2 linked regions of the Sus scrofa genome follow. The protein of the gene in region 2 purifies or fractionates together with the protein of the main gene of each other region. This does not show direct contact. Links are inferred from orthologs where the notes say so. Each region holds a gene or a part of one and is shown on either strand. Other genes may lie near its edges.

Evidence for each region. Proteins that work in one complex are often made in the same cells at the same time.
Region 1: the proteins of METTL9 (region 2) and CANX purify together in Homo sapiens (co-immunoprecipitation; 3 studies listed by BioGRID and IntAct, with this or other methods). This does not show direct contact. The link is inferred for Sus scrofa from reciprocal best matches to the Homo sapiens genes METTL9 and CANX.

Annotation. Positions count from the first base shown.
Region 1 is NC_010444.4:78,883,929-78,888,648, forward strand, and holds part of CANX (calnexin), read right to left. Parts: intron 3,982-4,720; coding exon 3,766-3,981; intron 2,590-3,765; coding exon 2,470-2,589; intron 1,117-2,469; coding exon 990-1,116; intron 836-989; coding exon 756-835; intron 1-755. UniProt on the Homo sapiens protein: Calcium-binding protein that interacts with newly synthesized monoglucosylated glycoproteins in the endoplasmic reticulum. It may act in assisting protein assembly and/or in the retention within the ER of unassembled protein subunits.
Region 2 is NC_010445.4:23,716,702-23,722,012, reverse strand, and holds the start of METTL9 (methyltransferase-like protein 9 precursor), read left to right. Parts: upstream 1-1,859; 5' UTR 1,860-2,043; coding exon 2,044-2,208; intron 2,209-5,311. UniProt on the Homo sapiens protein: Protein-histidine N-methyltransferase that specifically catalyzes 1-methylhistidine (pros-methylhistidine) methylation of target proteins.

The DNA.
Region 1 (4,720 bases), on a different chromosome or scaffold from region 2:
AATAAAATGCAGTGATTTGTCCAAGAAATATTTTTATTTTGGTCTTTTTTGTCTTTTTAGGGCCACACCCACAGCATATGGAGGTTCCCAGGCTAGAGGTCTAATTGGAGCTGTTGCTTCAGGCCTATGCCAGAGCCACAGCAATGACAGATCCGAGTTGCGTCTGCGACCTATAGCACAGCTCACAGCAACGCCAGATCCTTAACCCACTGAGCAAGGCCAGGGACTGAACCCGCAACCTCATGGTTCCTAGTCAGATTCGTTTCTGCTGTGCCACAAAGGGAACTTCCAAAAGCCTCTACTCTTATCAACTGCTGGCAGGGAGTCAGTATAGACTTCTTCAGGGATGATTTAAAAGGTACACCATCTTCAACCAGATTATTTCACTTCAGCTAATAACTCCTGTCCAAGAAATATTTTTTAAGAGCACAATGAGGAGAGAGAGATGATGAGACAGAATTATAAAATGACCTGAAGTTGTCATCGCAGAAAGCATTTTATCAGTCTTTCCCCACAACCTTCTGCTTATTCCAGAAAACCATTTTCAACACATAAAATACTTCTGAGATTAAGATGTAATTAGAAATTATAAAATGCTGACTTGTGTTGCTAAGAATTCCACTTTTACAAAATTGGCTGTAACAGAATTTTTATTGCCACAGCCACTAAAAATTACCCTATGAAAATACTCTCTACTTAAATGTAGCTTCACTTGAGTTGCTTGAAATACAAAATATACTCTCCCCCCGGATTACCTCTGCTTTCGGTTTCCTATCTTCCTCCTCCTGACTGACAGTGCCACCATCTTCTTCAGCATCGCTTTTTTGCTTCTCTTCTAAGACATAAGTCAAAGTAAAACAAATGAGCAAAACCTTACACTTGTTTTTAGTAGCCCAAAATTAGCATTAGAACATACCTCTAGAGTCTAAAATAACCTTGCCAATAATTGGCATAAACAGCTTTGAAACATCTTGGGGTCTACTTCTTACCAAGTTTCTCTTCACCTTCCTCCTCCTCATCTCCCTTTTCCTTCTCTTCTTCCTTTTCTTCTTCTTCCTCCTTCACATCTGGTTGAGGAGCATCAGTCTTCTTATACTCCACAGGACTGGCCTGTTTCTGAAATATGCCCCCAAAGCACTATAGTTTTGTTCACATTTTATAGATTACATTACCACATAATTATTGAATGCTTATGAGCAAAGTTCTGTACCCAGCATATATGCTGGGGTAGATACACAGAAATGAGTTAAGACTGAATTCCTGCCTCACAGCTTCCTCTCAGTAAGCATGTGTGTGGTTCAAGGTAAAAGAAACAGTATGAGCAAAGGGTTCAGACAATAATGTGCAGGTCTCATTATTAATCAAGGTGACTGAGGCACAGATATGCAGAATAATGGTGGGGGATAAGGCTGGAAAGGAAGATTGGGGATCAGGTTACAAAACATCTTGAATGCAAGGTAAAGCATAATTCTCATTTAGTAGAAGTAGAGGGCCTACACAAAATTTTGTTTTTTATTTTGCAATTTTTTTTTTTCTTTTTAGGCCACACTGCAGCATATGGAGTTCCTGGGCCAGGGATCAGATTCGAGCCACAGCAATGCTGGATCCTTAACCCATTGTGCTGGGTTGGAGATCAAACCTGCCTCCCAGTACTGCAGAAAGCCTGCCATCCCACTGCGCCACTGTGGGAACTCCTGTTTTTTAATTTTTTTTTTTTTTTTTGGTCTTTTTGCTATTTCTTGGGCCGCTCCCGCAGCATATGGAGGTTCCTAGGCTAGGGGTTGAATCGGAGCTGTAGCCACCGGCTTACGCCAGAGCCACAGCAACGCGGGATCCGAGCTGCGTCTGCAACCTACACCACAGCTCACGGCAACGCCGGATCGTTAACCCACTGAGCAAGGGCAGGGATGAACCTGCAACCTCATAGTTCCTAGTCGGATTCGTTAACCACTGCGCCACGACGGGAACTCCCTAAATTTTTAAATATCAAAGGCTAAACAAGAAAAACCTACAATAAGGCTGTGGAATACCCCTAACATGTGTTTTTCCAGGAGGGAAGGTAGGGATACTGAGGAAGGAATGGATAATGAGGAATCAAAGACTGAAATATAAAGTACATGAATAGAAATAACTATGACAGAAGGAAAAGCTAGTCTGTGCCCAGATGGCTAGGTTTTATATCTAAGTTGGTTTCTTCTTTTCTTTTAGAAAGCTGCCGCCAAATATAAAGGAGAGTAACACAGTGGGCTATACTACTAGAAACTACTAGGGGCTTCTACTAGGAGCTAACAAATCCTATTCCCACCTGGGAACATTAAATAGCCACTAAGAGTAGTGAACAGGTTTCAGAAGTCAACACAGTATGTGGCCCAGTCACTACTGAGCTGCTACAAAGAAAATTTCAGGCAATTTATAAGAGTGACTAAAAGTGAATCAAAATAAAAAACAAAACAAACCAACAACTCATACCTTTCCAGAACAGCAGAAGAGGATGACAAGAAACACAGGTAATGCCACAGTCAAAATATAAACCACCCAGAGCCATGGGCGCTCCTCGGCTGCCTCAATCATCTGCCCCACCACACCTGGCTGAAAAACAAGACAGGACTGATTTCACCTTCTGACCTTTAACACCAAACACAGGCTGTGGCTGTACTGTTCCACTGTTCAATTACTGCAAGGCACTACTCAGGCACCTGCTGTTTCAAAGGATTCATTCAAGCCTAGCTGTTTATACAGATGAAAAAGGAAAGAAGAGAAAAGCCTTAATTTTCCTGCTCTCCTTATCATCAAGGTAACTTTCCTTTCCTAGGTGTGAAAGCTGGCTTCTTAATCACCTGCAAAGGTTCCCTTAACCTCAGGGATCAACGAACAAAGAATTTCTTTTCTCTTTTTTCTTTTTTTGTCTTTTTGCCTTTTCTAGGATGGCTCCCGCGGCATATGGAGGTTCCCAGCCTACGCCAGAGCCACAGCAGCGCAGGATCTAAGCCGAGTCTGCGACCTACACCACAGCTCACAGCAACGCCAGATCCTTAACCCACTGAGCAAGGCCAGGGATGGAACTCGCAAACTCATGGTTCCTAGTCGGATTCGTTAACCACTGCTCCACGATGGGAACTCCGACGAATCAAGAATTTCTTGATCTCAATGTCTCTATCTCTCCAATTCCCAGCTTGGCCATATGACAAATTCCTTAAAAACTCCATTTATGGGTAAATCAAGATTCAGTATTTACCTGCGGCATATGGAGGTTCCCAGGCTAGGGGTACAATCAGAGCTATAGCTGCCAGCCTACACCACAGCCACAGCCACACAGGATCTGAGCTACAATCTATACTGCAGCTCATGGCAATGCTAGATTCTTAACCCATTAAGAAAGGCCAGGGATCAAACCCACATCCTCACGGACACTAGTCGGGTTCATTACTGCTGAGCCACAATGGGAACTCCAAGATTCAATAGTTAAAAATGCCTCAAAATATACCCTAAATGGCAAATTTTGTTATATATATGTCTTAACACTATTTCTTAAAAAATACACTGTAAGTAACACAAATATGGACTCTAAAGCCATTACATTCGCCTAATGAAACCATATCCAAACACCCAGTATTTTGTCTTGAGCACACAGAGGTCACACACTTTCTATGCCAATATTCCCAAATAAGAGAAAAGACAAATTTTAGAAGACGGCTTTTCACAACAGCAGCAGTTAGTTACCTGTAATAAAAGATATAAATGTACAAGAAACAAGAAAGTACAAACCTCAGCAGCCCCATCGGCAGCCTTCTTCAGACCCCATCCATCATTGGCCCAATCATCAACCACTCTTCGATCACCACAAATGATGAAATTGTCAAAAAAAATGTCCGAGGTCATAGACCACAGTTCTAAACCAATAGCACTAAAAGGAGTCATTTTGAAAGGTTCCAAATCTTCAAAGAAATCTGGATTTGGTATTTTCCGGGGTTTCCAAATCCCCTAGAGAAAAGATAATGATCAACATAAATTCAGGTCTAGACTCCAACTCCTTTTAATTTCTAATTATCACCCATGATTGTGATTCAAACCAACAAGCTTCCTCTGCCTGGCACATTCCAACAGCGTGTATTCTTTTTTTTTTTCTTTTTAGGGACACACCTGTGGCATATGGAGATTCCCAGGCTAGGGGTCTAATCGGAGCTGTAGCTGCCGTCCTACGCCACAGCCACAGCCACGCCAGATCCAAGCCGTACCTACAACCTATACCACAGCCACAGCAACGCCGGATCCATAACCCACTGAGTGAGGCCAGGGATCGAACCTGCAACCTCATGTTTCCTGGTCAGATTCGTTTCTGCTGTGCCACAAAAGGGAACTCCCAAAAGCCTCTACTCTTATCAACTGCTGGCAGGAGTCAGTACAGACTTCTTCAGGGATGATTTAAAAGGTACACCATCTTCAACCAGATTATTTCACTTCAGCTAACTTCCTAAAGAAATAGTTACCACATACATTCAGAAGAAAAATCACTTAAGTAAGTAAGGACTAAAAGCAAAAATGGCAATTCACCAAAATGGCCATAGACAAAGCAGCTAAAAGGCAATTTTTAATTTCTCATTAATGGCTCAATTAAAAACACATTTAAAAACAGAAAAATATACAGTTTATACAGAGAGATGCAGACCTATACCGCACATTTGAAAATGTAACAAAGTAGAAATTAATGATTTTAAATAAC
Region 2 (5,311 bases):
GACTTCTTCTCGAGGATCTGGGGGTTATTATAAAGCATTTTAAATGTGTGTGATTTACTTTTCCAGACCAGCTGCTCAGGTCGAAAGTGAACACCTGCTCCTTTGAGATGCTAGGCTTGGTGGCAGTCAACTGACCCCCCCCCCCCAGTCCTGGAGAGGACAGCAGCCATCTAGTTGCTTCTTGTTCATCTGATGCATTGTGCAGTCTCTGAGCTGCAGCTCATCAGGCTTACTGTACAGTTAGGGGGCTTATCTTTTGATCTCCTTTGTCCACAGAAATATGTTCTTTTATATAGGCATGCTGCTTTTACCTCCTCCCAGGGCCCTCCCTCTAAAAAGATGAAGGCTTTCTTTGGCACAGAGCTGCTTTGACTGTGACATTGATCCCAAGAGACAGTGGAGAGAGGTGACACGGTAAACAAACTGAACTATCTGGGCTTGCTCCTATAGTTCCTTTTTGATGATTTGGGCCAGGACCACTAGGGGTTTGAACTAGATTTAGTAAGGTGCAGGCTCTTGGGGTTTGGCAGGAAGCAGTCAGGGAGTATGCTGCAAAGAGAATACAAAGCACCCTCCCCCTTTCCCTGGCCTGCCCTTTTTTTTTTTTTTTTTTTTGGTTTGCTTGTTAGGCAACAAGATGTCCCTTTTAGCCAAAGGTGCCAAGCTGAGTCTCAGAAGCCAATAAAAATGTCTGTGGGTAAGGGACAGTTTTTTCCCTCATCAGTGGATCACCACAGCCACTGTTAAAAGACAATCTCTGAAGTTCACTAATGGAGTTACCAGAAAGGTCTATTGCTTTTGTTTGAACGAAGATAAAGTGTATTTACATGATTTCTAGTGCAGTTAAATTAAAAGCATTTTCTAAACGAACCTAGAAAGGTGTTAAAGCGAGAGGGCCCATGAAATAGGTCACTCACTTGTAGCTTAGGTGGCAGCAGGAAGAACTTCAGACACAGGAACACAGTGTAACCCTTCAGTTTTGAAACGTTGCTAGGTCTTCCCGTGCTATAAATGATCAAAGAAACATCTGGGTAAATATTGCTCCTAAAGCTTAGCTGGCTTTAAGGAGTGTTGGGTCTGACTTCCGTTAGTTCAAGGAAACAAGCATCCAGGGACTCTTAATTTGGGGTCTTCGTTCTTGGACAGAGTCATTAACACACCAAAATATTACGTGCAGGTGTCCCAGCTGCAGGAACTTCCAACAAAGGCAGAGCTTTCGCTGATGCCTCTTAGGAACAGTAGCCAGCAACTTGCCAGGCCTGGGGGACTGGGCGGGGAGGTGGTGAAGGGTTGGAGGTAGCCCTTCCCCTCTAGATGCCCATTCGCTTGGCAGGGTGGAGATCCTGGGGGTGGGGGCCTGGCTGGTCGGCTCTAAATGTAAATAGGAAGCCACGCAACTGAGCCAGAAATAGTTACGAACTGACAGTCTCCGTCTCTGGCGAATACTTGGTCCGAGTGTCTGAATATACGAAAGGGAGGAGGCTCGCCGCCTGGGTCAATCTGCACAACCAGGTGAAAGACCCGCAGGGGGCTGGATGAGGGGCTCAGAGCAAAGACTCAGGGGAGGAAAGGCCAGAAGAACTACGGACACTACCTTGGAGGGATGGGGAGGCCTCAGTTACCGCCTTTGGAAACGATCTCCCCTGGCCTAAACATATTAAAACCGTTTCCGCCATTACAAGCCGACACCAGACGGGAGGCGGGAGCGCGCTCCCTTTGTCCCGCCTCCCGGGCGGACAGCCCATGGGGCGGAGGGAGCGTGCTCCGGAGGGGGCGCGCCGCAGCAGCGCGTACGTGGTCCGTGTGGAAACTGGCGCCCGCGGCGGCGGCGTTCCGCGGGCGGAGAGGAAGGGGGAGGCGAGAAGGCTGCGCACCGCCCGCTCTTCCCCACCCCCGCCCCCCGCCTCGGCCCTAAAAGGGGCTGGATGGGCAAGTTGGGCGCGATGGCTCGAGCCCGGGCAGCGGCAGCTGCGGCTGGAGGCGGCGGCACGTCCTCCTCGCCCCGGCGCCGGCGGTGATCGGAGCGAGCGGCCGCGGCCCCCGATGAGACTGTTCGTGGGCTGGCTGTGCCTGAGCCTGGCGTCCGTGTGGCTGGCGAGGAGGATGTGGACGCTGCGGAGCCCTCTCACCCGCTCCCTGTACGTGAACATGACGAGCGGCCCGGGCGGGCCGGCGGCGGCCGCGGGTGGCAGGAAGGACAACCACCAGGTACGCGGCCGAACCCGGGCCCGGCGGGGCGGGGGCGTGGCGGCCGGCCTTCCCGCGCTCGGCCGGGCTATTGTGCCGGGCGTCGTGGCGAAGGGGCCCCCGGGCCTCGCCCCAGCGCCCCACAAAGTTTCCCCCGCGTCTTCCCCGCCGGACGCCGGGTCCAGGCCCAGCGGTGCCTTTTGTTCCGCGGCGCGGCGGACGACGGCCTCCCGGGTCCCTCCCCCGCCCAGGCATGGGCGCCCCGGAACCCCACATTGTTCCCGGGTCCCGGGCAGTGATTGCAGGCGCTCGGCCACCTCGGCGTCGGCTCCCCGGAGCGGGACCGAGGAACTTTCGGGCCAGCGCGTGGTGACGGGGACCCACCTGGCACCGGGGCCTGAGATCTAAATAACCGGATCAAACCCATTACCCCGGACGGCCTTCATTACCCCTGAGAATCCAACCGAAAAGCCGGTCCCTCTTTTTGTCTGGTTGAATCTCTGAACGTACAAAGGGTCATAAAGAAATGTAACCGTGCGTCGTGAGCCATTTAACTCTCTGGCTCCTTCGGGTGACATTTTCCCTCTGCCTTTAAAAAAATGCGTTTGACAGGTCGTCGTCACTCTTGTCCTATGGAACCTTCCCTAAGGGAGATCTCCTTTAAACTTGGGTGTTGGTGTCTGACTGGCGAGATGCGATAGGAACGAAGATGGTGCGAGCATTTACTAGAAGGGTTTTGTTAAAAGAGAACTGGGCAAGAGTGTTTTTGTTTTTTGTTTTTTTTTAATGAGTTATGGTTCTGGATCGTGGAATGATGCGATGTGGCCGGCTGGGTAGTCTTCATTAGCTTAGGTTTGTGCCACTGAAGCCTGTGGAGGTCCTATCTGACCATAATGTCGTTTGCGGTTAACATTTCATTCATTGAAAAGAGGCTTTTGAACTCTGCCAGAGTGTTGGCATATCATAGCCAACATTTATAGTACATGTTGGCTTCTCAGAGAGCAGTAGCTAATTATTCCATCTTGTGTCTCATCATTTTCATAGCTTTCTCGTTTTCCTGTGTTACTTTTCTTAATATACCAGGTGTTCAGAGAGCAACACCCAGGTTGTTTTGATGTGTTTTCATGAAACTAGAGAATGATCTTAGGAGACAGAGCAATTCATTCAGAAAAATAGTATCTAGTTTTTATTTATTAAATATTTATGGTGGCTCTTTTTCTATTTTTAAAGGAAAACATACTTTTTTTTTCTTCTTCTTTTGTAATCCCACAGCTCTTGTACTTTGTTAGGTAATCACTCCTATGATATTGTTCGGAGTGTCCTTAAAGTTAGTAGGTGATCTTAACTTGTAAAACCACATTCTTGGCTATAGAGTAATTAGTCATTTTTAGAGTTGGGCTATACTGACACTGTAGTTAACCAAAATGTCCCATATCCATAAGGAACATGGATAATGGTGTAAAATAATAAATAGAAATGTCATTTCCAACAGTCGATGGACCTAAGGTTCTGGGTAGGATGAAAAGAAGACCTTTCCATTGATATGGAATTACGGTCAAATCTTTTGGCTGTAGGCGTTTATTACAACACTTGTGATTATCTCTATTGCAGTACACCTGATACTTTCAGTGCTCAAAAAAGAAATGGACTAATTTAAAAACTGAGAAACTAAGGAACCTGATTTTTGTGGATCCTAGGTAGAATTATAGCTGTTGACATAGCCTCAGAATATCCTCTAACAGATGATACTTTTTTTGTTTGTTTTTAAAGTTTTACTGAAGTATAGTTGATTTACAAGGTAGTGATAATTTCTGCTATACAACAGAATGATTCAGTTATACATATACACACATCCATTCTGTTTCAGATTCTTTTTCCACATAGGTGATCACAGAATATTGGGTAGAGTTCCCTATGCTATACAGCAGGTCCCTGTCGGCCAATCATTCCGTGTACCTCAGTACATGGAATATGTATATGGCATTGGCATGTAATTGGCATATGCCAGTCCCCCACCCCCAGTCCATCCCTCCTTTCCCACTACTTGTCCCCTTTGGTAACCATTAGTTTTTCAAAGTCTGTGACTCTTTCGCAAATAAGTTCATTTGTATCTTTTTGTTTTGTTTTGTTTTGTTTTTTAGGTTCCGCATATAAGTGATATCATCTGATGTTTGTAGAGGATACTTTGTAATTGTGTATCTTTTTAAAGCGGAATCTGTCAGCTTCTAAGGAATACTAATACTGCTTGCAGATACCTCATTTACTTCCTTATGCTTCTAAGATATTCAAATGTGTGTATGTTTTAACCAGTTGCACTTCATTATTTAGCAGCTAATTTCTCCAAAGTGAAAACTAATCTGGTGCTTTCTGAATATTGGGAGGTGGTGGGGGACATTGGCCTTTTTCCTTCGAATAATCAACCCAGACATTGTTTTGCGTTGATATGTTCACATTATGGCAGTGTTGTCCATGAATAAAGATGAGAATGAACAGAAGAAATGTGTATAGGAACCACAGTGAGAGACAATGGAATCGACAGTTCTGTCTGCATCATGGATGAGTTGATGGTTTGTTATCAGCTCTGTATTCCAGGATTCCGCTTTGCTTTATCAACTTTGTAGCTTGTGAAAAAACTTAACTCTAACGCTTTCCCCCTTCAAATTAGTAGTTTATACAAGGTCTGCTGGTGTTCATCTGGCTGTGTGGTTTCCATAGCTAGCCACATCTGGTTCTTTTGGAGCTGCATGAAAGTAGGGTTATGGTTTTGATTGAACCATACTTAGCATGAGGTTTTCTTATGGTTATTTGATTAAGAAATTATGGTGGTGGATTCTATGCTTAAAAAGAGAGCTCTCAGGCCATGTTTATTCATTAAAAATAGCTATTTAGTTACAATAGCCTGGAGAGGCAAGACTCCTTTGAGCTAAAGCAACTTTAAAACATAGTCTGCAGCACCATTTTAATAACTTGGTTTGGTGTGCCAGTTTCAAAGCTAGGATTATGTTTCACTTTGGGAAAGGGGGAAGCAAGGAAGGGCTTCTCTCAGAGCAGGGATATGGCTTGCATGTTGAATTGAGCTCACACGCTCTTTTTTGCACAGACTGTGAGATAAGAATAGTTTTAT